Linked DNA regions of Xenopus tropicalis. The protein of the gene in region 1 binds, or shares a complex with, the protein of each later gene. Links are inferred from orthologs where the notes say so. Each region holds a gene or a part of one and is shown on either strand. Other genes may lie near its edges. The genes, in order: cpsf2, cpsf3 and cpsf4.

Region 1 (9,876 bases):
TACCCTTAGACCATATAGTGAGCACTGTTTTTTTCTGACCGCTAAAGAAATGTGTTGCAGGGTAATAATCTGCCTACTGACACACATAATCAATGATAAAATAAGCTGCTGTGGGCTGTCTGCAAATCACATTTAAATGAAGTCTGCATTCGGGTTTATGTACAGATTGATTTCCTTGTGATGTGCTTTATCATAACCAGAAGCCATATAGGCTGGTTAGACGTAAGTTAAAGAATCAGGTTCACTGCTTGTGTGTCAAACAACTGGATCTCAAAAGAAGCAGGTGGGTCATGGTTTCTTGACTCTTTAAATTTGTCCCATGACCATATCAGGACCCCTACATAACCTGATGCCTGGACAGTTCAGATAAATTGCCCACTTTATGCTCCTTGTGGCCCAGCTGTAAAATTCTGCCAAGAGATTGGCCAAGAAAAGTTCTGATACCTTTGCCAACCCCAAATAAAATAAAAAAAGCCTAATTTACTTGACTGATTTTGTTGGATGCCTTTTTAACTGAATAATCTTTGTTAATATGTACAGTTAATAGCTAAAGGCGATATAATAAATCAAATATCATGCACCATTTAGAGAGTGTGTAGTTCATGTGTGTAATTTAAATAATCATAAATGCAAATGTGAAATTAGAATCAAGTGCACCAGGTCCAAATGATAAACATATATGGGGTCATTCCTGCCCCCGGGTGGTATACGTCCACTTGTGTCCCCCTACTGCTGATGAAAAATCTGGTGCTTCTATAGTTAGAGAGGTTCTTGGAGAAAGTTGTCCTATATAAACCTCATTTAGCTTGTTCTTTATTGTTAAAGTGAGTGGTCTCCCCATGCCTAGATTGGAAGAGCTCCCTGAGGCCTTTAAATAGAAGATTATATATACATATTAGTCTAGGAAGTTATTTTAATAAATTGTATCAGTTACACCTAACATCTAATTGATTGGCAATCTTTTTTAAACACTTTGCAATGAAAAATATTTCAAACAACTGCCAAATGCCCAGGCCAGGCTGTCCCTGTGAGCAGAATATAAGATTTTGTAAGAAGTTTCTAAAAACTTTTAATTTTATCATTGGACCTACAGATAATTGTCAGCACTGCTGATATCTACATTTAAAGCATGGTAATTAAAAGGTTATGGTTTTGGGCTGCATTGCTGCCTGTCCAGCTGGCCATCATATAATCCAGTGACCCAAATATTCCAGTAAAGCAACCAAGAATTGGCAGAAAACAAATGGAGGCTTTTGGAATTACCAAATCAAAGCCCAGATCTAAATCCCATTGAGATGCAGTGGGGCAATGTGAAACTTGCTGTACATGCAAGAAACTCCTCTAAAAGCTTACAGATATAGAATTCCTGAAAACATCAAATCTACAAACCTGACAATTAGGCCCCTGACAGCTGGTCCTGTAGATTTTACTATCTTTGGCAGAAAATCTGTTAAACAACCTGTAGCTAAATGCAAATCGCTTGCAGGTAGAAAGAATTTGGACTATTCTTTTCAGTGTGGAAAAGCAATTGGAAATAAATTGTATGTTTTAATGAGGAATGACTATTTATTTTCTTGGGCAACTTTAGTCATATTTTGTAAAAGCAATCTTACCTTTTGTACAGCATGCTTTTGTTCCTGAATGTACTTAACTTTTCATCATTCCTCCTGTCTAAATACCATCCAATCACAAATCCAACAGGAATAAGCACATTGACCCAGTGATCTCGCAGAATTCCTGCAAGGTTTACCATGGCAACTGCAAAAAAGTAATTACAAGAAATAAAAAGTGGATAATTAATGACAAAATTAAAATAATGAAAATGTATAAACCAAATAAATCAGTGTACATCAAACTCAACAAAATGTATTTTTACTACGTGGGTTAAATAATAGTGTTTATTAGAGATGCATAGAATCCTCTATTTTGGGATTCAGTTGAGTCCCAAATCTTTCATGAAGGATTCGGCAAATCCGAAACCAAATCCAAAGCCAATCTGCATTTGCACCAAGGGTCAAAAAGAACCGTGCATACAGAAAAAAAATTGTGATCACCTTATTGCGTGACCAAAGTCAAGTGATCTTAAGTGTTTGGGATTTAGTGTGTCCCTATATGCAAATATTCTAAATTTTACATATCAGACTGTTAGGTTAATGTTTTTAATTTTATCATCCCACTTTGTGGTCAAAAATATGGCCAAGAACCCCATTAGTTAAAAAAGAACTAAAACTTAAAAAATATGCTATTTCTAGCCATATTCATTTTAATCATAAACATATTGCCCCAGCCAAGAGGTTCAGCATCTGTATAATAATAATGATCCAGGCCTTTAAAGTTGTCACAGGAGCTATCCATATTTGATTTTGTTAGGAGTATCAGTGACACTCACATGCACAAATTATTAAGTAGAAAATGAGGTTTGCCTGTCAGAAAAGCTAATGCTACAGAGCTGATTATATGTACTAATATTCTGAATTAATTACTAAATCAGCCTTATATTGTGACATTGTGAGCGAGTCCCTAAGCTCAGGTAACTGACAGTAGCACAGAATATGTGCAGTGTAGCAGCAGAAGATGGGAAGCTACTGGGGGCAAATTTAGCGGCAGAGATCTTCCCTGCCAAAAGGGCTGTGATTGCCATTTGCTGGTGTCAAAGCCAAAACAATGTACACCATTGCTGCCCTACTTCTTTAATTTAGCTTTAGTTCTCCTTTAAAGGAACAGTAACACCAAAAAATGAAAGTGTATAAAAGTAACTAAAATATAATGTGCTGCTGCCCTGCACTGGTAAAAGTTGTGTGTTTACTTCAGAAAATCTACTATAATTTATATAAATAAGCTGCTATGTAGCCATGGAGGCAGCCATTCAAAGGAGAAAAGGCACAGGCACATAGCAGATAACAGATAAAACACTATAGTATTCTACAGAACTTATCTGTTATCTGCTATGTAACCTGTGCCTTTTCTCCTTTTTTCCAGCTTGAATGGCTGCCCCCGTGGCTACACAGCAGCTTATTATATAAATTATAGTAGTGTTACTGTAGCAAACACACCAGTTTTACCAGTGCAGGGCATTATATTTTTATTACTTTAAAGCTCTTTTATTTTTTGGTGTTGCTGTTCCTTTAAAAGAGCTTTATTCGATATATAAAATGGTCCTACGATCATTGACCTTCTTATACCGTTCTGGGTGTATACATTACTACAAAAACTTTAACACTAAGGGGCAGATTTATCAAAATGTGAGTTTAGAACTTAATACATAAAAACTCACCCACGTTGTATTAATTTCTATGGGATTTTTAGAAGCATTTTCAACTTTCTCCCATTTATAAGTACACTAAAAATCCTATAGGAATGAAAAAAATCGGGGTGAGTTTTTATGTAATAAGCTCTAAACTCACATTTTGATAAATCTGTCCCTAAATCTCACCCAATCTATTGTTTTGGAACTCCCTGAGCAAGAGGTTCAGACGCACATCAGTGAAGTGTTAGGCAAAAATGTTAGGCACCCCCAAGTGACTGTTAGGAGAAAACAGCACCAGCCCGGGGTACCTGGAGCAGATCGCTTCCTTCTTCCTGCTTCCATTGCTGAAATGCCAGCGGTGGGCGCATGCGCATTAGAGTGAAAAGCCGACTTTAATGCTTAAGTTCGGCTTTTCACTCTACTGCGCATGCGCGCGCAGCGAGTCAGGAAGAAGTAAGCGCCGGCAGCTACCCCGGGCTGGTGCTGTTCTCTCCTCACAGGGGCACCAGCCCGGGGTAAAAGGTAGGTGGTCAAAGTCACTTGGGGTGCCTAACATTTTGGCACCCCCAAGTGACTTTGACTTTCTTTTTCCTTTAAGTTGCTATATGTGCAGCAAACGCACACATGACCATATAGTGGTCCTTTGTGCAACAGACCCACATATGACCATACAGCACATACTTCAAAGAAACAGCACACAGAATTAGAGGTGGTTGCTAGTAACCTGAATATGTAAAGGAAAACTAAATGTTTTTAATGAAAATGCAACCCGAATAAGTGAGCTATTAAGCAAGGTAAGAAAAGTGGTATATCAGTAAATATTGCCTTTTTATGTAGACTGAACAAAATAAAACATATTTCTAATATAGTTAGGCAAAAGGTAATCTATAAAGGCTGGATTTAACATGTTTGCCTAAGTAACTATATTAGAAATATTTTTTATTTTGTGCAGTCTATTTATTTTACCCAATTTACTTTTACCTTTATTTTCCAAAGGCTCCCTTTTGTTACAACTCTGACTTATGCATGTGCACAATGGTAACATTTTACTACTGAGTCCTGGGAAATACTGAAAACATGGCTGCACAGCACTGGGTAAAAATGTTCCCTAGTCCAATGCAATTTTTTTCCAAACAGGAGTACTGGTCCAGGTAAAAAGGTAAGCTATTGAAGAATCGTGGGGTGTCTAACGTATTGTGACCCCCTCCCCAGTGTATTATTCAGTACATGTTCCCTCACTATTTCTATTACCTACAATTCTACTGATAACTATTACATTTCCTTTGTTTCCATTAAAAAGATTTATTTCAAGGGACATCTATGTGCCTATGTTTATACTACTGCATTCTCTCTCAGATTCATGACCCCCAAGTTAACATGCATCTGGGCCTAGTCACCTAGAGGACCCCAAGTCTCGCACTCTTACCTTTCGGATGGGAACAGCAGTTACACCAACCAGCCAGCAAGGAAGCAAGGAAACACACAGAGGGCAGCGGACGCTACCAATATTTTAAAGTCTAGGGACACCTTATATGCCCTGTATGAAAGGGAAAGCTGGCTAAACTGCTAAAAATATTCCCATACGTTAGACACTATTAATCGTAAAAGGAACGTTTTGTGAAGTAATACTGTTAAAGTTGTTAGACTTTATACAATCACTCCCCCTTTCCGCTTGAAATGGATTGTTCCTTCTGCGCACCCCGGTCATGCGCACAAGGAAGATGGCGCCGGTTTCATCCAATGCTAGTCGTTGATTGTTGTTGGCATAGTACTTCACATGGGGTCTTCAGAGGGACTGGTGGGCTCGTATGTAGTTGCGAAAGCGAGCTAGTGGGCATTTCTCTTATCGGCGCGAAAGGTAAAATGTTGGAGGCTCATATGGGATTTGAAAGGCTGTTGCAGGTTAGCGGAACGGGAGAAGAGACGTAGAGCGGGACACTTAGAGAGTGAGACTTGTGCTGAGAGCTTATTAGATACATTGCAGGCTGCTCCTGCAGCAAAGTGACTGAAACTGGCAGTTTTGTGTGACTCAGACGTAAGATGTCAGGCTAATAATGAGTTTAGGCTGGTGGTCAGAATTTTCGGTAGGGGCCAGTTCAGGCAAGCACAGAAAGGTTCTGAAAGTTTAGGGCAGGGGAGCCCAGACTTAACCAACTTTACTTTACATTTAGTGGTACTATCCCATTAAGAACTGCTACAGCATTGTAGGGGTTTTGTTATAATGAGACATTGAGAATATACATGTTACTGCATTTAAACAGATACTTATTTTTTTCAGGTTATCCAATTACCTGAAATAGGGAACATAGACTAGTGCTGAGAAGTCTAGCAGAGGGGTTGTTTAGTGCCCAGGAAATGGTTATTGTGGAATGTATTACCTAGCCCTTCAGTAAAGGCGCACAAACGTGAATACACTGGGAGTAAATAAAGTCTTAAGGGTCCAAGTGAATTTTCCCAGTTGAAAGTTTGCAACAGAGCCCTATCTTTACCTGTGCCATATGCAGTTTGTCGCTGCAAGCCTTGCAAAGGTCTGTGGGTAATAGGGCAGACAGAGAGCCCACTGAGTCCCTGTTGGGCTTTAGGCTGCACCATTTTAGAGCCCACTTGAAAGGCAGACACTGAAGCAGTCAAACCCCCATCCCCTGGTCATTAAATTACATTACATTACTGTCCTATACAATGCAGTGTGTTCATCTGATCCTTAAGTGTTTTTCTTTAGTGTCAATAGATATCCTCAAGAAGATTATGAAAATAACCATATACTTTGCTTCATTAATGTTTGCATGCAGCAGCTTATCTGCACATAATATAACAGTGCTTTTGTATGCATTCTAATAGATCTGTAGCATCTGAAAAAAATGACATCCATCATTAAGCTAACTACCTTGGCCGGCGCCCAGGAAGAATCTGCAGTTTGTTATCTTCTTCAGGTTGATGAATTCCGGTTTCTCTTGGACTGTGGCTGGGATGAGAATTTTTCCATGGATATCATTGACTCTGTCAAAAAGTATGCATAATACATATATAAAATGTATGCCATTGCAGTATGTTTACAATGTACTTGCTGTACAGCTGGAGTCAAAAAGACATTTTTTCAGTAGAAGGAGAGCAAAAGGTTAACTCACTGAGGGGTGCCAACATTTTTGGCTCCTATTTGCTTTCTTTTTATATAAAGAAACACAAAAATAGTTGCACTCACTGATTGGAGAAAATGTCTTGGTGCACGCCACAAAAAAGTAATATAGAATGTCATATAAATCAAGGCACTCACAGGGCTTGAAAGTACAGTGTAAAGATATTGTTTATTTGTTATTTTAACGTTTCGGTCTTCCTTGAGACCTTTGCTAAGGGGATAAAGGTCTCCTTGAGAAAGAGCACAGTTGGTGTTCAAAACACCTGATTTTTTTCAATAAATATAGATTTTTCACAAGTATTCCTGTTAAGTGCGGTAGTACTATGATTTTCTATTTAACATATTTACCAGCACCCAGGCAAGTTGCTACATTAGTTTTGGGAGTGCTCCTCTTTGGTGGTTCTTATACAGTCATGGCCAAAATTGTTGGCACCCCAGAAATTTTTCCAGAAAATCAAGTATTTCTCCCAGAAAAGTATTGCAGTTACACATGTTTATTCCCTTTGTGTGTATTGGGACAGAACGAAAAAGGGAGGAAAAAAAGCAAATTGGACATAATGTCACACAAATCTCCAAAAATGGTCTGGACAAAATTATTGGCACCCTTAACTTAATATTTGGTTACACACTCTTTGGAAAAAATAACTGAAATCAGTCGCTTCCTATAACCATCAATAAGCTTCTTACACCTCTCACCAGGAATTTTGGACCACTTTTCCTTTGCAAACTGCTCTAGGTCTCTCTTATTGGAAGGGCACCTTTTCCCAACAGCAATTTTAAGATCTCTCCACAGATGTTCAATGGGATTTAGATCTGGACTCATTGCTGGCCACTTCAGAACTCTCCAGCGTTTTTTTGCCATCCATTTCTGGGTGCTTTTTGACGTATGTTTGGGGTCATTGTCCTGCTGGAAGACCCAAGATCTCGGACGCAAACCCAGTTTTCTAACACTGGGCTCTACAGTGCGACCCGAAATCCTTTGGTAATCTTTAGATTTCATGATGACTTGCACACATGCAAGGCAGCAAAACAACCCCAAAACATCAGTGAACCTCCACCATATTTCATTGTAGGTACTGTGTTCTTTTCTTTGTAGGCCTCTTTCTGTTTTCGGTAAACAGTAGAATTATGTGCTTTACCAAAAAGCTCTATCTTGGTCTCATCTGTCCACAAGACGTTTTCCCAGAAGGATTGTGGCTTACTCAAGTACATTTTTGCAAACTGTAGTCTTGCTCTTTTATGTCTCTGTGTCAGCAGTGGGGTCCTCCTGGGTCTCCTGCCATAGCGTTTCATTTCATTTAAATTTCGACGGATAGTTCGCGCTGAAACAGATGCTCCCTGAGCCTGCAGGACAGCTTGAATTTCTTTGGAACTTGTTTGGGGCTGCTTATCCACCATCCGGACTATCCTGCGTTGCAACCTTTCATCAATTTTTCTCTTCCGCCCACGCCCAGAAAGATTAGCTACAGTGCCATGGGTTGCAAACTTCTTGATAGTGTTGCGCTCTGTGGACAAAGGCAAATCTAGATCTCTGGAGATTGTTGATATTTTTCCACAATTTTGGTTCTCAAGTCCTCAGACAGTTCTCTTCTCCTCTTTCTGTTGTCCATGCTTAGTGTGGCACACACAGACACACAATGCAAAGACTATGGGAACTTCTCTCCTTTTCATCTGCTTTCAGGTGTGATTTTTATATTGCCCACATCTGTTACTTGCCCCAGGTGAGTTTAAAGGAGCATCACATGTTTGAAACAATCTTATTTATCCACTATTTTGAAAGGGTGCCAATAATTTTGTCCTGCCCATTTTTGGAGTTTTGTGTGACATTGTGTCCAATTTGCTTTTTTTCCTCCCTTCTTTGTTCAGTTCCAGTACACACAAAGGGAATAAACATGTGTATAGCAAAACATGTGTTACTGCAATACTTTTCTGTGAGAAATACTTGATTTTCTGGAAAAATTTCTGGGGTGCCAACTGTATGTATGTATGTATGTATGTATATAATTTTTTTTTTTTTTTTTTTTTTTTGCAGATATGTCCATCAGGTGGATGCAGTCCTCTTATCGCATCCTGATCCATTGCACCTGGGGGCTCTGCCCTATGCTGTTGGAAAGCTGGGGTTGAACTGTGCCATATATTCTACTATTCCAGTGTACAAGATGGGTCAGATGTTTATGTATGACTTATATCAGGTATATATTAATACTATCACATTTGTTAATATGCCATTATGTTTACACACTAAAACAAATCTCTTATGTTTCAGTCTCGTCACAACACTGAGGATTTCAGTCTTTTCTCTCTTGATGATGTTGATTGTGCATTCGATAAAATCCAGCAATTAAAATATTCCCAAATTGTGCATTTGAAAGGTATGTATAAACAGTGGGATTTTTGTTTTTTAAAGTATGTATGTATATCTCTATTTATAAAGCGCTACTTATGTACACAGTGCTGTACAGAAGAATAGATTAATACAACAGGGGGTTATTAAAATAATAACAGATAAATACAAAGTATAACAATAAATACAAGATACAGTTGCAATAAGTTAAGAGTCAAAGACACAAGAGGATGGAGGTCCCTGCCCCGTAGAGCTTACAATCTATATGGGAGGGTAACTTACAGACACAAATAGGCAAATATAAGTGCAGTAGGTCACAGTGGGTGACAATGCAATATAAGTGCTAGTTCCCAGATCAGGTGCTGGGTGAGTGCTCCAAAAGATAGTCTTTAAGTTTAGTTTTAAAAAAAACTTAGGGAGGATTCTCTCCGGAGGAAATCAGAGAGGGCAGTCCAAATGTAAGGGGCAGCAAGGCAGAAAGGTTTAAGGTGGGAACGTGCAGTAATAGTGGGGGGCGCAACCAAGCGGTTGCTTTGCGAGGAACGAAGGAGTCGGCCAGGAATGTACGGAGACACAAGAGAGGAGATGTAGTGAGGGGCAGAGGAATAGAGGGCTTTGAAGGTTAAGAGAAGGAGTTAGTAAGATATTCTTTGTTTAATAGGAAGCCACGATAAGGACTTTAGCAGGGGAAGGGCCTGAACTCTCCTGGATGAGAGGAGGAGAATTCTGGCAGCAGTATTTAATATAGATTTTGGAGGCAAGCGGTAGAAGCAAGACAGGACTATAGTTAGAGAGACAGGACAGGACCAGCGTGGCCTTTTTAAGGATAGGCTTGACACAGGCCTGTTTGAACGAAGAGGGGAAACTTCCAGAAGTTAGAGAAGAATTGAAGATGTGAGTAAGAGCTGGAGTAAGTTCAGCAGCACAGTGTTTAAGCAGAGAGAGAGCAAGTGGTGAGCGGAGCTGACAATAGAAGCCGGAAGACTTCGGAGACAGTTAAGGAAGCAAAAGAGCTAAGGCATGCAGAAGGGGGCTGAGGAAGGAGGAACTGGTTTGTATTAGTAGAGGGGAGTACGCTTAGGCTGAAGGGGTGCAAATGAGTCAATGGTGGAGGTTAGCATACTGTTGTACTCGCTAACCAGGGTATCAGGG
Region 2 (10,125 bases), on another chromosome or scaffold:
TTATAGGCAGTTGGGGGATGTTCTTTTTTCCCATAAAAACAATCAACGCACCAGAGGTCACCCCTTTAGATTAGAGGAACGGAGCTTCCATTTGAAGCAGCGTAGGTGGTTTTTCACGGTGAGGGCAGTGAGGTTATGGAATGCCCTTCCTAGTGATGTGGTAATGGCAGATTCTGTTAATGCCTTTAAGAGGGGCCTGGATGAGTTCTTGATCAATCAGAATATCCAAGGCTATTGTGATACTAATATCTACAGTTAGTACTAGTGGTTGTATTTATAGTTTATGTATGTGAGTGTATAGATTGGTAGGTGTGGGTTAGGTGTGCTGGGTTTACTTGGATGGGTTGAACTTGATGGACACAGGTCTTTTTTCAACCCTATGTAACTATGTAACTATGTAACTATAACTATATTAAAAGTTAACATAAAGGTGAACCACAATTTAACCAGCAGGATTTTCCCAAACAAGCCCACTTTCAGCTCTAATGTTAGTGAATTAGCCTTCATCAGTCATTTTGTTCTCCATGAGGCAAAAAATGTAATTGCTACTGACAGCAGTATCTGCCTGGCTATTTCTATTCTCTGCACTGCTTGCCCTGACTCCTGAAACAATGTAGCAGAAGCCACAAGCCCTGGAGGACTTTTGCTACATATTTTCAATGGTTTCAGTAATTACATATACAAGGCATTGACCAGGTTAAAATAATATATATATAAGATTTCCAGGAAGTTGCAGTAATGTTTTGGTATTAGTTTGACAACTACCCACTGCCTGGCTATTTCTATTCTCTGCACTGCTTGCAATGACTCCTGAAACAATGTAGCAGAAGCCACAAGCCCTGGAGGTGTTTTGCTACATAGTTTCATTGGGTTGCCTTGGGTTCCTAATTACATTTACAAAGCATTGAACGTTAAAATAATATATATATAAGATTTACAGGAAGCTACAGTAATGTTTTGGCATTAGTTTGACAACTACCCACTGCCTGGCTATTTCTATTCCCTGCACTGATTGCCCTGACTCCTGAAACAATGTAGCAGAAGCCACAAGCCCTGGAGGCTACATAGTTTCATTGGGTTGCGTTGGGTTTCTAATTACATTTACAAAGCATTGATCACGTTAAAATAATATATATATAAGATTTACAGGAAGCTGCAGTAATGTTTTGGCATTAGTTTGACAACTACCCACTGCCTGGCTATTTCTATTCCCTGCACTGCTTGCCCTGACTCCTGAAACAATGTAGCAGAAGCCACAAGCACTGGAGGACTTTTGCTACATAGTTTCATTGAGTTGCCTTGGGTTCCTAATTACATTTACAAAGCATTGATCACGTTAAAATAATATATATATATATATATATATATATATATATATATAGAGTCCACAGGTATAGCGGTGCACACTGGGAGTCCTTTAAAAGTTAGCTTTTATTGAACTATATAAAACTTAATACATGGAGAAATAGGTCAACGTTTCGGCCCCCATCTTGGGCCTTTGTCAAGACCTTAAACATGTAACAACCATCAAAGCTATAAATAGATAAAAGCACAAACCCACACCCAATGGCACAAGTCATTCCAGTCATGTGTCAAAATTAAAAGAAAAGAAACCCTGTACCAAGGAGAAAACAATATCAAACACCATAAGGAAAATTATAATGAGCATACCACTGGCCATAAACTCCCATTTATATTCTGGCCCATCACCTCACATTAAGGGCCCTAGAATCTAAACCCCACAGAGATCTAGCGTTGATTTAAAAAGCAGGAAAAAGAGCAATATTCATTAAGGCCAAAAGGGGATAATGTATTTAAAGTTTTAATCCAGAATGTTTCCCTTTGTAGGAGCAAACGGGAGCAGTCACCCCCCCTCCTGGGTAGGGGAACATGGTCGATTGCAATATAACGAAAGGTGGGTAACCTGTGGCCCTGTTCTAAAAAATGTTTTGCCACCGGTTTATTAGTCACCCCATCACGAAATGCTGTACTAATAGCAGAGCGATGACCATCCATACGCAGCCTCAACGTTTGATCAGTCTTTCCTATATAGGACAAACCACAGGGACAAGTAATCAAATAAATGACAAAAGATGTAGTACAAGTGATATGATGTCTTATATTGAGACGCTTACCCGTATGGGGATGTAAAAAAGTCGCCCCTGGAGTCATATACCGACAAGAGGTGCAATTGGGGCATTTAAAGCATCCAGGTTTGTTGCTACGCAACCATGAACCAGATTTCTTTTGGTAACATGCTATCGGGTCACTCTGTACTAAGAGATCACGTAAATTTATACCCCTTCTGTAGCTAACAAGTGGGGCATTGGGTAATACCTTCTTAAAGGCATGGTCGGCCTGAAGAATATTCCAATTTTTACCAATCGTATTTCTGATGTGGCCAGATCTAGAATTAAAGGTAGTACAAAACACCACACCAGGATGTGCCTTGGGACCCCTGCTAGTGAGATTACAGCGAGAGCGAGCCGTTGATAAAGCTTGCGTTAAAACTGAAACTGGGTAACCCCTTGCTTGAAAGCGCCCCCACATCTCCAGGATTTGGGTTTCCGCTATGCGCTCATCGGAGTTATTCCTCAAAACCCTACAAAATTGTGAGATGGGTAGGGATTTTTTAAGGGCTGGAGGGTGACTACTACCAAAGTGGAGAAGCACGTTCTTGTCAGTGGGCTTGCGGAACAACGAGTAGCCCAACTGGCCACCCGTGATCCACAGCTCAATGTCCAAAAAATGTAGCCGCTCCCTCTGGATCTCTGCTGTAAATTTAACAGGACTGTCCAATGCATTAAGATTTGTCACCATCATATGAAATTCATCCTCCGTTCCACACCAGAGCATAAGCATATCGTCTATATAGCGTCGGAAAAACAAAAGGTTATTCCCATATTTTGGCACAATATACAGTTGTTCAAAACAATGCATAAATAAATTAGCATAAGCTGGAGCCATGGCAGCACCCATTGCCGTACCAGAAACCTGGAGAAAAAAATCATATTCAAACCGAAAATAATTCAAGGTAAGTGCTAAATGCAAAAGTTCCAGTACGAATGAAATTGGGGGCCCCTGATATGTATCCATTGACTCCAGCGCAGTCCGAGTGGCCGCCAAACCCTCCTCATGCGGTATACAGGTATACAAGCTGACCACATCCAAACTTGCTAGAAAGAAACGTGCACCCTCAGGGATATGTACTTGTTTGATACAATCTAGCAAATGTGGGGTGTCCTTAAGATAAGTCGGTGTTTTCTGTACCGCCGGCTGGAGTATGGTATCTAAGTAGACACAAATGGGATGCAATACGGAATTCCTTCCGGACACAATCGGACGCCCTGGTGGTTGTGTAAGACTTTTATGCACTTTTGGCAACGTGTATAGTACCGGGCAAACCGGGTGCTCCAACTTCAAAAACTCGCCCAATTATATATAGAGTCCACAGGTATAGCGGTGCACACTGGGAATCCTTTAAAATTAGCTTTTATTGAACTATATAAAACTTAATACATGGAGAAATAGGTCAACGTTTCGGCCCCCATCTTGGGCCTTTGTCAAGACCTTAAACATGTAACAACCATCAAAGCTATAAATAGCACAAACCCACACCCAATGGCACAAGTCATTAATTTGGTTGTTACATGTTTAAGGTCTTGACAAAGGCCCAAGATGGGGGCCGAAACATTGACCTATTTCTCCATGTATTAAGTTTTATATAGTTCAATAAAAGCTAACTTTTAAAGGATTCCCAGTGTGCACCGCTATACCTGTGGACTCTATTGAAATTGCTTGAATCGGTAGCACCTGGGTCAATTAGCCACTTGCTAAGGAGTGCTGAACCCTCTTGGTTTGTATATATACATATATATATATATATATATATATATATATATATATATATATATATATATATATATATACATATATATATATATATATATATATAAGATTTACAGGAAGCTGCAGTAATGTTTTGGTATTAGTTTGACAACTACCCACTGCCTGGCTATTTCTATTCTCTGCACTGCTTGCCCTGACTCCTGAAACAATGTAGCAGAAGCCACAAGCCCTGGAGGTCTTTTGCTACATAGTTTCATTGGGTTGCGTTGGGTTTCTAATTACATTTACAAAGCATTGATCACGTTAAAATAATATATATATAAGATTTCCAGGAAGCTGCAGTAATGTTTTGGCATTAGTTTGACAACTACCCACTGCCTGGCTATTTCTATTCTCTGCACTGCTTGCCCTGACTCCTGAAACAATGTAGCAGAAGCCACAAGCCCTGGAGGTCTTTTGCTACATAGTTTCATTGGGTTGCGTTGGGTTTCTAATTACATTTACAAAGCATTGAACATTAAAATAATATATATATAAGATTTACAGGAAGCTGCAGTAATGTTTTGGCATTAGTTTGACAACTACCCACTGCCTGGCTATTTCTATTCTCTGCACTGCTTGCAATGACTCCTGAAACAATGTAGCAGAAGCCACAAGCCCTGGAGGACTTTGCTACATAGTTTCATTGGGTTGCCTTGGGTTCCTAATTACATTAACAAGGGCTTGAACACGTTGAAATAATATATACTGCAATTTCCAGGAAGCTGCAGTAGTGTTTTGGCATTAGTTTGATAACTACCCTAACATACATGAGCCCACAAAGCCCGTATTGCTACGTAGCTGCAGCCACTTACTGTAACAGCTGCTTCCGGCCCGGTACCCTCGGTTACAGTATAAGGCTCTTCCCTATCCGGTACGTTACCGTGGAGTGATAATCCATTAGCTACATGAAGATAGCGGAACCCAAGCGCAGAGCCCGGAGCAACCCGGAAGTGGCAATAGAGTGGGGAAAGTGAAGGGGCGGACCGGGGAATGGTGTGTAGCGGGGGCCGGAAGTCTCGGCGAATGGGATAGGAACATCATGTCTGTGAAAAGGAAAGCGGAGAGCGCTATCCCGGCCGAGGAGAGTGACCAGCTGCTCATTCGGCCCCTGTGGGTGATACTATAACCTTATGCCGGCACTATATGTTACGGGTACTATAGACATTGTGCGGGGTTTAGTATAGAGCCGGGGCTTCTGTGTGTGTAATGTATAACCTGTGTATGGGGGGGCCCTCCGGCTATCAGTCTCTCCCATACTGCGCTGGGTTTGTTGTATGGCGGAAAGGGCATTTACCTTATTATCATCACACGGGTTGGATACATGGTGTAACAATAGCTAGCTAGGTGCTCTGTATATTCCTATAGCATGGCCAGGCTGCATCTCAGTCAGGGGGTTCTGGGAGTTGTAGTTTGGCAGTGACTGGAAGGCTGCAGGTTCCACATCTGGAGTGGGTTCCCAAGCCTGCCAGCAGCCCTGGCCTACTGTGATTATGTTTAGAGCAGCGGTTCTCAACCTGTGGGTCAGGACCCCTTTGGGGGGGTCAAACAACCCTTTCACAGGGGTCGCCTAAGACCATCTAAAAACATATATTTCCAATGGTCTTAGGAATTATTTTATGGTTGGGGGTCACCACAACATGAGGAACTGTATTAAAGGAGACATATCCTATATAAATTAAGAATTTCCCAGGGAATTATACTCCTCTAGATATAGAAGGATTGTGCTAAAAAAAATAGTGTTTCAAACTGATTTATTGAGAAATTCTCCCAAAACCCCACTAGTCCCACCCATCTGTTCCACTTCCTGCTGGCTGAATTCTCTGGATGAGCTGGGGAGCTGGCGGCCCTCCGTACCCTGCACTGTAGGATAGGAACCAATCAGCAGCTAGGCTGACCTGATAGGGAACTGAAGCCTGTCTGTGCTTGTGTTTATTTCGTTTAAAAGTAACTTGAAAAAACTTGAATGCAAGGAAATCACATTCTACTCATCTCAGTGCAGGGCTGTGATTGGCTCTCCCCCTCCTACTGTGCTTCTGGCAGGGACCTGAGAGGATCTATAGGGAGCTCCAATAAAGGGGCCATTGTTACAGATAGGGTTAATGTTTAGCCCAAAGGGAAACCAGCACCGAATATTATTCATAATTGCCTACAGGGTTAGGGGTTTCCCATTTATCCAATATGTCTCCTTTAAATGGTCACGGCATTAGGGAGGTTGAGCACTTCTGGTTTAGACAGTGATGTGATGTGGGTATTGTACCTATTGTGGGTTCATGTACCTATATATTGTTTATGATAAGCCAGCGGGCCGCCAGCTATAACATTAGCGCTTCCTGATGCTCTCACCACCTATAGACTTAGTTTTGATACATGCGCTACATATCTGTCCTCTGGCATTATGGCAATCATGTTAGTTGCTCCCACAGTGCATGGAATTAAAATGCCTGTTATTTTATATCTATTCCAGTTATGTCAGAGACATGAGCAGAGCAGAAATTCTCACGTCTGTTGGTGAATGAATAGGCTTAAATAGAAATGTCAGAAATCCCATTGCATTGCATGTGTGGCTGACAATTATGTTAAAGCATGTACTGTTGTGTTTGATTTCAGAGGCGCTGGTCAGGAGGTGGGAAGATCATGTATCATTCTGGAATTCAAAGGAAGAAAGATTATGGTGAGTTCATACATAACCGCGTAAGATTGTTGCATGTTTGTTAAAGGTTGTTCAGCTTTGAGTTAACTTTTTAATATGATGTAGAGAGTGCTATTCTGAGACAATTTGCAATTGGTCATCAATTTGTATTATTTGTGTTTTTTTAGTTATGTTGCTTTTTGTTTAGCAGTTCTGCTGTTTGAAATTTTTGCAATTTCTGGTTGCTAGGGTCCATGTTACCATAGCAAACGTGGAGTGGTTTAAATGAGAGACTGGTATATGAATAGGAGAGGGCCACAATAGAAAAATACATAATAAAAAGTAACAGTAACAACTAGAAAGGGAAGTTTGAGAACAAACTTCATGTTGGGTTGAAAAATGTGAAGTCACGAAATGAAATCTGATCTTTTGTTGGCTCCGCCCACTTTTTCTAACCTTGGACCACAGTTATATAGTAAAAACCACTGTGCCAAGTTTGGGGACCCTGGTTTTAATAGTGTCTGAATGGCAGCAACTTAAAGTTCCCCACTGAAAGTCAACGAGTGACATCTGATTGGTGGTTGGTGGCTCCTCCCACCTGGAACTGCAGTTACCCAGTGACTAACATTGCAAAGTTTAGGGACTCTAGGATTAACAGTTTAAGAATGGCAGCAGTTTAAATTTAAACCAATCAAAGTCAATAGGTAAATGGTGGTTGGTGGGTGTGCCCACTTTTCTAACCTTGAGTCGAAGTCACCCCGTGACAAACAGTGGGCACCCTGGCATAAATAGTGTGAGAATGACAGCATTCTAAATTTAAACCAATAAAATTCAATGGATGAAATCTGATTGGCTGTTCGTGGCCCAACCCACTTTTCCTATTTTTGAACTGCAGTCCCCCAGTGACCAACTGTGCAAAGTTTGGGGACTCAGGCATAAAAATTGTGGGACTGACAGCATTTTACACTTCACCACTGAAAGTAAATAGGTGAAATGTCATTGGCTGTTGGTGGCTCCGCCCACTTTTTCTAACTTTGAACTGCAAATACCCAGTGACTAACTTTGTTTAACAACCCTGGAATTATTACTTAAATAATGGCATCAGTTTAAATATAAACCAATGAAATTTAATGGGTGGAAATGGATTGGCTGTTGGTGGCTCCGCCCACTTGTTCTAACCCTGAATACGTTTGCAGTCAGTGACTGACTGCAAAGTTTGGGAACCCTGACATAAATAGTGTGAGAAAGGCAGCATTTTAAATTTAAACCAAAATAATTCAATAGGTGAAGTCTGATTGGCTGTTGGTGGCACCACCCACTTTTTAAAACTTAAAAATGCAGTCCCCTAGTGACCCTGGTGTTAATACTGTGAGAATGGCAGCAGGTTGAATTTCCCCATTAAAAATCAATAGTTAAAATTTGGCTGTTGGTGGCTTCACCCACTTTTTCTAACTCTGAACCGCAGATATCTGGTGACTAGCTCTGCAAAGTTTGGGGACCTTAGTATTAATATTTAAAGAATGGCCGCAGTTTAAATTTAAACATATGAAGTCCTATAGGTGAAGTCTGATTGGCTGTTGTTGGCCCTGCCCACTTTTCTAGACTTGGAACCCAGTGACAAACTGTGCAAAGTTTAGGGATCCTGACATTAAACATGTGAGAATGGCAGCAGTTAAAATTTCCCCACCAATAACAATGAAAGAAATGTGATTGGCTTTTGGCAGCCCCGCCCACTTTTTCTAACCTTAAATACGAAGTCAGGCAGTGACTGACTGTGCAAAGTGTGGGGACCCTGGTTTTAATACTGTGAGAATGGCAGCAGGTTGAAATTCCCCATTGAAAGTCAATAGGTAAATTTAATTGGCTGTTGGTGGCTCCGCCCACTTTTTCTAACCTTGACCCACAGTTACCTGGTGCCTTACTCTGCAAAGTTTGGGGACCCCGGCATTTTTACTGTGAGAATGGCAGCAGGTAAAATCTGATTAGCTGTTCACAGCTCCGCCCACTTTTGGGCATCCAACAATCATCATATCTTCATTCAGGCTGAGCCCATGACTATGTGATTCAAGTTTGGGGAGTGTAGCCTCAAAGTGTGGCAGCAGTTTCAATTTCCCTATACAAGTCAATAGGTGAAATTTGATTGGCAATACAATAAGTATTTTGTTTTGTCCAAATGAGACAAAGAAAGATGGAGAGCAGCAATATTGGCCTCCACCGCAGATGAATTGGAGCAATAGGTAAATTGCAATAGATCTAATGACTTAAGGTGCTTGGCTTTAATATGTGACATAACTACTCTCTGACTGCACTTCATAAAAAACTTGGGAGCGGCCAACTCCCGGGAACTGTAACTAGACACTCCCAGAGAGACAGCCAGTGTTAGCAGGAGAGAGACCCAGAATCAGTACAAGCTGAGATCTTAAACACCATTATGGCGACCTGGGGCACTTTTACTTGCCCTGTTTGAGAGGGAAATTCTGGGGGGCAAGTGCCTCCCTTGTTCCTTACTGTGGATGGCAATGCTGTTGACAGTAAGAAACCATAAGAAATAAACAAAGAGTTTGGAAAATAGCAGAGGACATTATAGGCATATATCATTCCTGAGATTGTGTAATCGCTTCTTTCCCTATTCTGTGAGACTTAATACATAGCTGTTTTATGGGATGTAATTCTGTGTAATACACATATTCCACTCAGGTACTGTATTTCAGTTGAGGTTTAGGTTCTCTAAAATAATGAAATAGGGTAATGAAAGTGTTACTCATAAACTGATAGGAAGAGAGAGATATAGACAAACTAAGAGAGAAAAATTGGGGCGTTCCGAGCGGGGCCACAAAACAACGGGGGGCGCAATCGCTTAGAAAAGCACAAGCAACCTGCTCCACTATAGGGCGAAGAAGTGTGGGGAGTTTGGGTATTGTACCCCTAAAACTGTAGGAGGAGTAGTGTTTAGAAAATGGAAGAAGAAGAAGAAGCGGAAGAATAAGCTGAAGTCGAAAAACAGTATGTGGGGTTTATGTGGGGTTTTTCAACCCAACACAATAAAACTGTAGCCTAGCAGAGCAATAGTTTTTTGGCTGCTGGAGTCAGTGATCCCCATTTGAAATCAAAGAAGAAAGAAAGAAGAAAAGGGAAAATAATTCAAAAACTATAAAAATAAGTAATGAAGGTTAATTGAAAAGTTGCTTAGAATGGGCCATTCTGTAACATAGTAACAGTTCATTTAAAGGTGAACCAGCCCTTTAATGACTGGACAGTTGGTCAGTGCGTTAGCAATGTTTCTGCCAATGGCAGGTGTAAAACAGCAGACTCTACAGCAATAGTTATTGCTTGTTTGTGTTTACAGCTGGACTGTGGGATCCACCCTGGATTAGAGGGAATGGATGCTCTCCCATACATTGACTTGATTGACCCTGCAGAGATTGATTTGCTCCTTATAAGTCAGTAAGTATAATCTTTGAGATTTGTATTGAAAGACATCTTGCCATTTTTCTTTTATGCTGCTTCTTGCAAATTCGGAGCTATGTGATGGTGGGTGGGCTGCAAGTGCCTCATACTTGTTAGGAATCACTCTTTGTATTGTAGTACAGTATTATGAAATATAC
Region 3 (10,027 bases), on another chromosome or scaffold:
TCTAAACGGACACATTCCGCCTGCACAGATAAGACAGATAGTTTAAAAAAGTGAAATATATTATTCTCTCTCTACCTATGTACATTGGTGATGCACCGAATCCATAATTTTCAAAAACTGGCAGAATACCCACAAAAACTGGGACCCTAATTTGCAATTTAAAATAATGCTTTTATTTGTCCAAGGATCGAACTCTGGAAATGGTGCATCCCTAATATAAAAGAAATAAAGAGAGATAAAGTGATTTTGTATATTATATTTCTTTAATTCTTTATAATAGCATATATTTTGCAATCTATTGTAGGGCATCCAAAAGAACAACATTTTGGGGGATTATTTATTATCACTGGAGACAAACACCTACAAGTTAGAAAGCAAAAGCAAAGATCAGCTTGGTATGGGCAACATCACCAGTGATGTTTATCTCCAATGTTAATAAATACACCCCTGTGCTGTACTTCATGCTAAGTGTCTGTGGACAATAATTTAAAGGGGAACTCCACCCAAACACAACTTAAATGATGTACTTTTCAAAAAGTGTAAGCAATTTTGCAATATAAATCAATTAAAAGATATGCAGCCTTTTCATGATTTTTAATGTAATAATATGGTTTTAAACTGTTCTAAGCCTAGCCCCTGTTCTCCTCCTTATCTGGATCACTACTTTGAGATTCAAATAAAATATAACAGTAGTCTACTGCCTCAGCCTGCATCCTCCAAATCCCAAAATTCCTTGCAGACATCATGTCAATAAGGAAAGAAACATTATAGTGCAATGAATTGTGGGTTATGTAGTTCCTGCTTGATGTCTGTAAGCTGTGGAGAATTTGTATAATCAATGTTTTAGTCCCTCCTGCAAGGATTTCAAATGATGCAGAAAGAGAAGAACTATTTTGCGGATAGATTTCAGCACATAAAAATTGTATTTATTCATGGTTTTTGAAGGAACAGATTACAATGATAGGTATATTACAGATTTCTGTGTTGTTTGGGGCTCTTTAACAAATTGTATAAACAAATAAAAGAGCAGTCCTATAATGGCACCTATCTCTGTTGTTGAGGGGTCCTAGGATTGTCAGTAGGTTTTCATTCTCCTTTACATTTCTAACTCTCTTCCTCAGCCCGGTGCTCCTGTTTGTAAACAATGCATGGGTCTCAGAAGCTATCTAACACTGCATTGCAAAGTCTTGCTAGTATGTTAAAAGGCTCCCCTTATGCTTAGCTGAACTTGCACAGTACAGTAAAAATCTTCACTATTTTGTGCATGTGCAATTAAGAAGTTCGGAAAGAGCGTTTGGAAATACTAGTAAAACAGCAGCACAGTAGTGATGTGTGGGTCGACTTTTTGTATTTTTCAAATATAAGACTGATGTCCTGTGGTGATTAGTCACCCGTGGTAAAACTCTGCTGCCGCAGGGGACTAATCTCCCCAAAATGCCTTTCCGCACATACACATCGCTAAGTCATCCAAAGTTTCCTTTGTGAGGAAACTTTCGGGGGACTTAGTGATGCGTATGCCTTCCCACTGGCTATTCACGTTATTGCCAGTGGGAAGGCATAAACATTGCTAAGTCTCTCTAATACTTGCTAAGTATTTCTGGTAGATTAGTTGCCGTGGTAGCAGGCGACTAGTCTCCCCATGGAGAGGCCCTAAGCATTAAGCTGCCAACAGCAATAAATCCGCAAATAATTTTGATTGGTTGCTATGGGTGATGACACAAATGTAATTTCTCCCCTATGTTAGTAAATCACACCCATGTCTCGATTTACAGCATAAATACTATGGAGTTATGTTCATTTCCAGTGATTTACCTTTTCCACAGGCCGATTTCAGAAAAAACTCACAAACAGCAGCCCCAGACTCTGCAAAAGACATTTTTAGTTATTAAAAAAGAGTGCAAAATAAATAAGCCCTTAGCCTCATTACTACCAATATGTGTTTATAGAAATTTGTCTTGTTAACCAGTAACTATAACATGAATACAGACTGCATATACCTATTTATTGTCATTACAAATCTGTAAATTTACAGGGGTATTACTATATTTTAAAATAAAATTAAAAAAAACTGTTACCACTACTACTGCAATAAAATCAAATATTCACATTAGGGTAATGGTGCTGCTGCATTTTATGCGTTTTACAGACATGCTTTAAGAAATTCAAATGCTCTGCTATTAAAATGTGCCATTGTCCTTACATACACTTGGTTTTCTTTTTTTATTTCTGAGGTTTAGGTCTACTACTCTCCATAGAATAAGCAATAAATATAAAAAACTAACAACAAAATAAATTTTCTGTTGGGCTGCTGGTTGTTGCTGACCCTGGCACCACAATAATTCAAAGACCACAAAAAAAAAGATGACATGCCCATTGTCTTAAGCTGGCCATACACGCACCAATGTATGGTGGATTGACGAGATGACCAATATCACAAAAGTCTTAGATATCGGGCCATCGCGTTTGTAAGGTTCCTGACCGCCGATCTTAGATTTAGTAATCCGTGGGAGCCCTCCTACCAGGACAAAGGCGTATACGGGGACAAGAACGACACAACTCCAATGGTAGTTCAAACTTGTCCAGTTTATTCTTAAGTGATCATAGAATTTATACCCCTTGTGTACTTGCAGAAACAAAAGGATCATTATAAAATAAAGATGGAGTAGAACCTCATTATCTTCAGGGATGGCCTTCAAACATGGCTCATACGGGACAGGAATTTAAAGGAGGACACAAGGAGTAGAAAAGGCGTTATTGCACAGATAAGATTAAGTTGTTTTTAAACCATGTATTTCGTAAGGTGCAAGCTGTGCAAGGGTACTATTTGGGAAAAACAACTATTATGGGATGTTCAAGCCTTGCTGGTTGCGGTTACAAAATGGAGATACATTTCTAAAATAGAGTATGATATGCTAAGCATCAAAGTATCAAAATACATGCATATATGGATATATGACTATATGACTATATGAATATGAGAATATAGGATATTATATAAAACCTTACAGCGTTGATCGGGCGCAGTTGAAGGCGCCCAAGCAAAAGCTGAATTTAGGGCTGAATGGTCAGAGAGGAGTAGAATGCCTATTGTTTCTACTGCCACATCCGACGAATTAGCCCTGAACGTCATTGGAGGGTATGAACAATTTTTCGTGAGACCAATGGTCACAGGAAAGATTGTAATTGTTACGTGTATAGCCAGCTTTAGAATGTCAGTTTTTTACACTGTTTTGAAACAGAGGTGATGCAACACAGGGAGAGCTGTGAAATTCTGTCACCAAAGCAGTTGTACTGGAAGATACATTAGACCAGGGGTGGGCAAACTACGGCCCGCAGGCCACGTCCGGCCCGTTGGTCCTTTTAATCTGGCTTGCCGACTCTGGAAGTCTCATGACGCGAGGCGTCTGACAAGTGGAAACGGTGTAATGCTGGCCCGGCCCGTCTGTAAGTCAATGTGGCCCCTGAGCCAAAAAGTTTGCCCAACCCTGCATTAGACAGTTTCAAAAGAGGGTTGGATGCCTTCTTAGAAAGTGAGAAAATCTAGGGTTACAGTACTCTTAGAAGTTGATTTAGGAACTAGTCCAATTGCCCTTCAAAGTCAGGAAGGAATTTTACCCTGCTGAGGAAAACTGGAGATAGCTTCAGATGTTTATTTTTTTGTTTGCGATCCTCTGGATCAATGTTCAATTCTGTTATAATATCACCCCGATCACAGTGCTACCTATACTGGATAGGGAAAAATGTACTGCTCAAACTGGTATATTACGTCTGCTTCTCATAGTAACCTTGCAAGACAACTTCAGGCTAGTACGCAATGCATATGTTTTCCCACCAGTTATTTACATTAATGCTGATGGGAAGAGAGCTTTGGACGTTTTGTTGCTCGAACTGGAGAAGAGTATGTGCAGGTGGCAATACGTCCCATATGCCATTGCCTAATGTAAGATTGCAAGCTACAAAACACAACCTGCTTGTCACACCTTATAGGCAGCATAAGATTCACAAGAAGGACCAGCCATGTACACAATTGCCTGGGTTGGCAAGTACTCCAGCATCCTGTTCTGTACTAAAATCTGTTATTACACTATAAATGTTGATGGAAAGTTGCTACTTTCCGAAGCTCTCATATGCCTTTGGTTGATTTCTAGGTCTAATTTATTGAAAGCTTTAAAGGAGACATAAAGGATAACCACAAAACCTCTAATCTTGTAGGCAATTATGGTGCTGGTTTCACTTTGGACTAAAAATTAATACTATCTGTAAAAATGGTCCTTTTTTGGAGCTCCCTATAGACCGTCTCCTAATGCTCCCTGCCAGAAGCACAGTAGGATAGTGATAGCCAATCACAGCCCTGCAGTCACACAGGCAAAGACAGGCTTCAGTTCCCTATCAGGTCAGCCTAGCTGCTGATTGGTTCCTATCCTACAGTACAGTGTGCCCCCTCAATTCATTGGCACAATATTGTTTTTAACACAACATGTCCCCCTGGTTATTAGATCCCATGACCCACTTTGCATGTGCCTGTGTGAGTGTGTGTGAACTGGTCAGCATAGTCAAACCTACATAATTCAGCTTATTTATGCAACTTGTTACTTTTACATTTGCAAGCAGCTTGTATGTTATAGATACCTCTATAGGACAGATAGTGCATGTTTCTCTCTCTGGGAGTATATCAGATATAAGGAAGATAACAGTAGTTATGGTTTTTATTTCAAAGCCAATTGACTGTGTGTTACAAAACCACGTGACTGACATACAGGGAAACCAGGGACTGACAGGCGCGGAAAAGTCTCACACAATTTGCTATTAAAATCGCTGTCATTATCCTAGATAAAGGGGTACGTTGACTTTGGGCAGATATTTTTTCAGACCCTGGCTTGCGTCCCGTCCTTTTTAAAATACCTATAACCTGCTTTCACAGCAGGATAACGTCCAACCTGCGGCCATCCATTTGTTGACTTAAAACTCACAGCTATCCCTGAGAGCTGTAAATTACTAACAGCTAAAAGACCCCCAAGTAAGATTTCACTTCTCTGAAGAACAAGACAAAAAAGAAACCAGGTCCCACTATTCAGTTTCTAATGCATAAAGTCACGTGTAGGTCGCTGCCTCATGCCCAAAGAGTCGGATTTAGATCACACTATCCACTCTTTAAAAAAACATCATAGGGCTAAGAGAAGGGATCATTACCCGGTTTAAAAGCCCACCCCGGTAATGGGAGGGATCAGGCCCCGGTACTCACTGTCCATGCCCGGGAAAGGGAGGGGTTGAGCCCCCAGCTGTTGTTCCACGGCCAGTTCCAGATCGAACCGGATATGATCCACACAAGCAATTAACTCCTGCATCGTTATCGTTACCGGTACCGAGTCCGACACCAACACCAAATATCAGCATCAGACTCATCCAGCAGAACGCCGAACGATGGATTTCTCAACCTAGAGCAGGGCACTCTGGGAAAGAACCAATGCAAAGCACGTCGGGAGGAGGCGGGGCTGAAAGCTGTGGGTGGAAAAAAAAAAAGATTAAAATCGAAACGTGAGAGCGATGTTGGATAGTAAGTTAATAAGTTGGATGTTATTTGTATAAAGCAATTTAGAAATGTTCGTTATGGTACATTTACTGATCAGAATTGTGTATAGAAAGGCAATACTACGGAGTAAGGTGTCTCACAAAGGATAGAGGACGAATATTTTGAAACTTGTTAGGATGTCGGATTACAGACAGTACGATTGTAAATGCAATATGTAATGTGAAATGTATGCTTTTTAGCGCAGTAGTCTTTGCTTAGTCCATGTGTTTTAATAGGGAAATCTGTGTGTCTCTGTCAGTATCTCCCAGCAGTGCCAGGAAACCCCGGCAATGTGACATATTGGCAGTGCTCTCAGCAATACAGGCATGTGTAGCTAAAGGTTACAGGGCCCTAAAGCAAAAACATTCTGCCCGTCCTTCGCTTTAGCAATAATGAAACTTTTCATAATCATATTTTGAAACTGTCTATCTGTCAGTATTACAAAGGAATCTCTATACAGTCCGCAGCTGCTGGGTCCACTTTCTAGATATGACACTGGAGAATACAGAATAGGGAAATCTATATATACCCGTCGCTATAACGTATTACTACTTCTTACATAGTATTTTGGCATTAGGGAATTATTAACAAAAAAAGGGTTAGTTTTTCTTAAATCTGCTAATGAAATTTGGCTTGTGTCCCAAGCACTGTCCCAAAGTTGGAGGGGGGTCACACTTTTTTCCCCCTAACAAGTTCCTATTGTGAAAATACTTATTTTGGCAATAGGAATTTGTTAATTAGAGGTCAACAAACAAGCATTCGCTTTAAAGGAGCAGAATATATCCCCAGCAAGAGTCCAGTAAATAGGCCAAAAATATCCTTTGCCTTCTATTTTAATTAAGAAATATCTATAGTTTTGCAGTTTCTTGCATTATATATGGCAAACTCTGGAACTGAAAGCTCCTTGATTTTCCAGCTTCCTAGTTCTTCTAAGCAATTGTGGGGTGAGAAGATAGTAAAACAGTTTACTAGTCCACAGATAACTCATTTTTCTAGGAGAAGGGTATATTTGTTTATGCAGCGGTCATTTTCTCTTTTTAAATGAGGACTAACTCTCCCACAAGCAAAAGCCCCATAGCCTACCCTTAATTAACCCCATTCCTGCTCACTCCCGGCAGAGTCTGTTAGAAAAGTGCCCATTTTTCTGTGAGGAAGTTGCAGGGAGGGGGGCCAATTGAGGCCAGGCAATGAGGGGCTTTTTCCTGTGGGGGGGTTTAGTTCACCTTTAAACAAATTCTTTATCCCTAGTCACTAACAGGACTGAGGGCCTCATTGCTTACCTTTGTGCTTGAACTATCATAAAGGAAACCCCACTTTTTGAGTTTGCTAATTCATTCTGGGTTTTGGGTGGAAAAATCTCAGCAATTGATGTTATTTCCCCTAATGGGTTTTTGTAACAAATGAAAATTTACAGAAGTTAGGGAAAGTTCAGGGAAAATTATGGAAATTGCAGAGCTTTTTGCGCCCAAAACCTAGCAAATGTTAAAAAATCCCATTGCTCCGTACGTGAACAAAATTTCTGTGCGACTTGGGTGGCATGCTGCCCTAGGCCTGAGTCTTTGTGGCCTCACCACATATCTGGGCCTGATTGGGGTTTCCTTTATGGTTGCTTGGGTTTTCATAAATCTGGATCTTGTAACAACAGGATGAAATTTCTAGTTCCATTTACAAACAGATGCATTATTTTTGTAGTGCTTTGATGGTAGAGATTACAAAGAGTTACAAAGAGATTACAGTAGAGTTACAAAGCCTCTTGTTTCTTGCATAGTTAATAAACTCTTTTTTTACCCAATAGTGAGCACTGCAGTGCTTGCAACGGGGAGGTAAACTATAAATCCACGGGGTGGATTCTTGGCCTACGCTACTAAAATCTTTTGGTTGTGCCTGTACCCAAAGCTACTGTGTCAAGCAGTTTTGCAACAAATTCTGCTGTGTGTGCCAGCACTTGGCCCGACACAGTGGCTTCGGGTGCAGGCACAACCAAAAGCTTTTTGCTTTTTTTTGTGGATTCTCGACCTGCATTTATCCACAGGCTTAGAATCCATCCCATCTATCATGTTATTGTCCTTGCATGTTATTTATAATTTTGCCTTAAAAGTATTTGACCAATGTTTGTACATTCCCTATCTGACCACCCATGTTCCTCTATGAGGGGGGCTGCCATATTTGTGCAGCAGTAGTCCATTCGCATTAGGAGCTGTAACTTACAGGTTCAGAAGGGACAGTCAGGTTGGCAAAACAGTCAGGTTTAGGGACTTCAAGTAACAATTACTTACAAAAGCAGCCCTATCAGCAAAAAATGGTCAACATGACCTATAGGTAAGTTTTAACGTACATCCATATTTAGAAAAGTATTTTTTTTGGTGTCAGTATCACTTTAAAGAGATATATCTTTATGCAAACTGCATTTTAAATGTGACTTTTATTTTTTCTGTGCTTCACGTTTCTAGTTAAGCTCCCTGTTGCAATCACTGCAGTGCTAACTGTTAGGTAACAAAAGAGTTTATTAACTATGCAAAAAACTACTCCATTTAGAAGCTTGAAGAAGTTGAGTTTACTTTCATGTTTTTCCAGTTATATCAGAGGGAGCAGCTACTGTCTGATAACATAACTTTATTCAGTAACTTAATTATAACCCCACCTCTAGTGATGAGTGAATGTGTCCCGTTTTGCTTCACCAAAAAATTCGTGAAACATTGAAAAAATTTGCAAAACGGCATACAAATTCTCAAAATGTGAAAAATTCTAAATATGAAAAATAGTGCGTAAAAAAAAACTGTCACACATAAAAAAATTACATGCGCAACAATTTTTTTGATTCATGGCAAATTTTTCTGTGGCAATTTTTTTGTGCCCATTTCTCATAAAAATCCACGAAAGGCAGAAATTCGTAGTGAATCCATGCCTGGGGAAAAATTTTGCTCATCACTACCTACCTCCATTGTACTCTGTCTGATTCTTGTTCAGATGCTTGCTAGGTGATTGTTGCTTCAAAACACAGCAGTCTGCAACTCAACAGTTGCATTTCAATTCAAACACTATTTATTTGGCTAATATTAATATGTTTTAATATTATTAAACATATGTATGTTGCTTGACCTGATGTATCCATTACAAATTTTTGTCATTAAATTTTAAATAATTGAAAACCATATATTTATCTTTAAAAAAACAATACACTAAACCATTACACACCCACACTAGTTCTTGCATTAATATATTCTAAGCTCATTGAGGTCATAATGAGGAGAAATTTTAGGGGGCTATTGAAATGAACTTTGCTTTATATTTGGTTCTACAAAAACAACAATCTCTTCTAGCAGTTTTGTGCTAACCATTTTAATAGATAAAAACAAAAATAAATGAAAAATATTTGCAAAAAACACTTTCCAAAATATATTTTGTTCTTTGCAGCTCCATTGGGAATTTCTCAACCAGTTTTAAGTGGCTAAGTTATCATGCGGCTTCTACAACACCTTACTCGTTACTTGTCTGCTCGCTCTGCTTGTCAGACACAGCTTGTTTGCGGAAAGATATTGGCAGCTAAAGACTTGTCCTCTTCTATTCATTGGTTCATTGGCAAGCAGCACAAAAGGTATTTTACCTCTGCAATCTCACTAAGTCAAATATCAAGTAGACAGAGAACTTTTGTCCTATCCAGAGAAAATAATAACACAAACCCAGATGTGCACAGTATGGAAGATGAAACTTTTGGGACCTTGGCTGAAAAATATTCATCTAGGACTTTTTTCAAGAAAACGTCTCCTGAGCTTCAAAAATTAGGACATGAAGAAGATAATGATGGAGAAGAGCCCAATTATCCTATAAGGTGGAGACAAAGGAATACTCCTTACTGGTACTTTTTAAAGTGCAAAGCAAAAATCAAAGAAGACAAGGTAAGATGTTTATACATATAATGGTTTCTATTTATTAAAAATAGAGTTTGATTTTGTCAAGGTGTTTGCATAATATTTATTCGCAGCATGTTGGCATATAAAAGTGAAATCGTTTTTAAAGAACATGTCATTTGCCATTTTGATTCTGTAAACAAACATATTACTACACAGTACCCTGAATAGAACTGGTGATGTGCTGTGTCACAATTACGATGTCCAGGGAAAAATGCATTTTGGGTAAAACACAATAATTGAGTCTGGAATTGCATATTGCAACCGCAGTCATAACTTAAGGATTTGCACCATTACTTCACTTGTGGGTGTTTCGGTGGTTCCAATGAAAGAAAAGTGAACTCTTGCACTTATCCATTTTTTGAGCCTGTGGGCTAATCCGCTGGATTGACCAGTGTGTGAACATGTAATGCACAATGAGTGCAACCTAACAAACCTGATAAACTTTTAATCCAACTAAGTAGACTGTGCTTCTGATTTTTAATTGTGCATGTTGTACTATATTTGTGGATGCAAGTGCAACTGCATCATCCAGCAAGCTGATGAAATT

Evidence for each region.
Region 2: cpsf2 (region 1) and cpsf3 share a complex: the UniProt entries of both Homo sapiens proteins name them as parts of the cleavage and polyadenylation specificity factor (CPSF) complex. The link is inferred for Xenopus tropicalis from reciprocal best matches to the Homo sapiens genes CPSF2 and CPSF3.
Region 3: cpsf2 (region 1) and cpsf4 share a complex: the UniProt entries of both Homo sapiens proteins name them as parts of the cleavage and polyadenylation specificity factor (CPSF) complex. The link is inferred for Xenopus tropicalis from reciprocal best matches to the Homo sapiens genes CPSF2 and CPSF4.

The regions. Positions count from the first base shown.
Region 1 is NC_030684.2:87,331,947-87,341,822, forward strand, and holds the start of cpsf2 (cleavage and polyadenylation specificity factor subunit 2), read left to right. Parts: upstream 1-4,957; 5' UTR 4,958-5,105; intron 5,106-6,085; 5' UTR 6,086-6,105; coding exon 6,106-6,254; intron 6,255-8,412; coding exon 8,413-8,572; intron 8,573-8,646; coding exon 8,647-8,752; intron 8,753-9,876. Other genes in the region: ndufb1 (NADH dehydrogenase [ubiquinone] 1 beta subcomplex subunit 1), read right to left, coding at 1,614-1,753. UniProt on the Homo sapiens protein: Component of the cleavage and polyadenylation specificity factor (CPSF) complex that play a key role in pre-mRNA 3'-end formation, recognizing the AAUAAA signal sequence and interacting with poly(A) polymerase and other factors to bring about cleavage and poly(A) addition.
Region 2 is NC_030681.2:137,799,359-137,809,483, forward strand, and holds the start of cpsf3 (cleavage and polyadenylation specificity factor subunit 3), read left to right. Parts: upstream 1-5,001; 5' UTR 5,002-5,043; intron 5,044-6,498; coding exon of another isoform or gene 6,499-6,559; coding exon 6,560-6,562; intron 6,563-9,866; coding exon 9,867-9,964; intron 9,965-10,125. UniProt on the Homo sapiens protein: Component of the cleavage and polyadenylation specificity factor (CPSF) complex that plays a key role in pre-mRNA 3'-end formation, recognizing the AAUAAA signal sequence and interacting with poly(A) polymerase and other factors to bring about cleavage and poly(A) addition.
Region 3 is NC_030685.2:47,258,597-47,268,623, forward strand, and holds the start of cpsf4 (cleavage and polyadenylation specificity factor subunit 4), read right to left. Parts: upstream 5,848-10,027; 5' UTR 5,671-5,847; intron 5,555-5,670; exon of another isoform or gene 5,500-5,554; 5' UTR 5,346-5,499; coding exon 5,243-5,345; exon of another isoform or gene 5,191-5,242; intron 1,864-5,190; coding exon 1,813-1,863; intron 21-1,812; coding exon 1-20. Other genes in the region: ptcd1 (pentatricopeptide repeat-containing protein 1, mitochondrial), read left to right, coding at 9,028-9,465. UniProt on the Homo sapiens protein: Component of the cleavage and polyadenylation specificity factor (CPSF) complex that play a key role in pre-mRNA 3'-end formation, recognizing the AAUAAA signal sequence and interacting with poly(A) polymerase and other factors to bring about cleavage and poly(A) addition.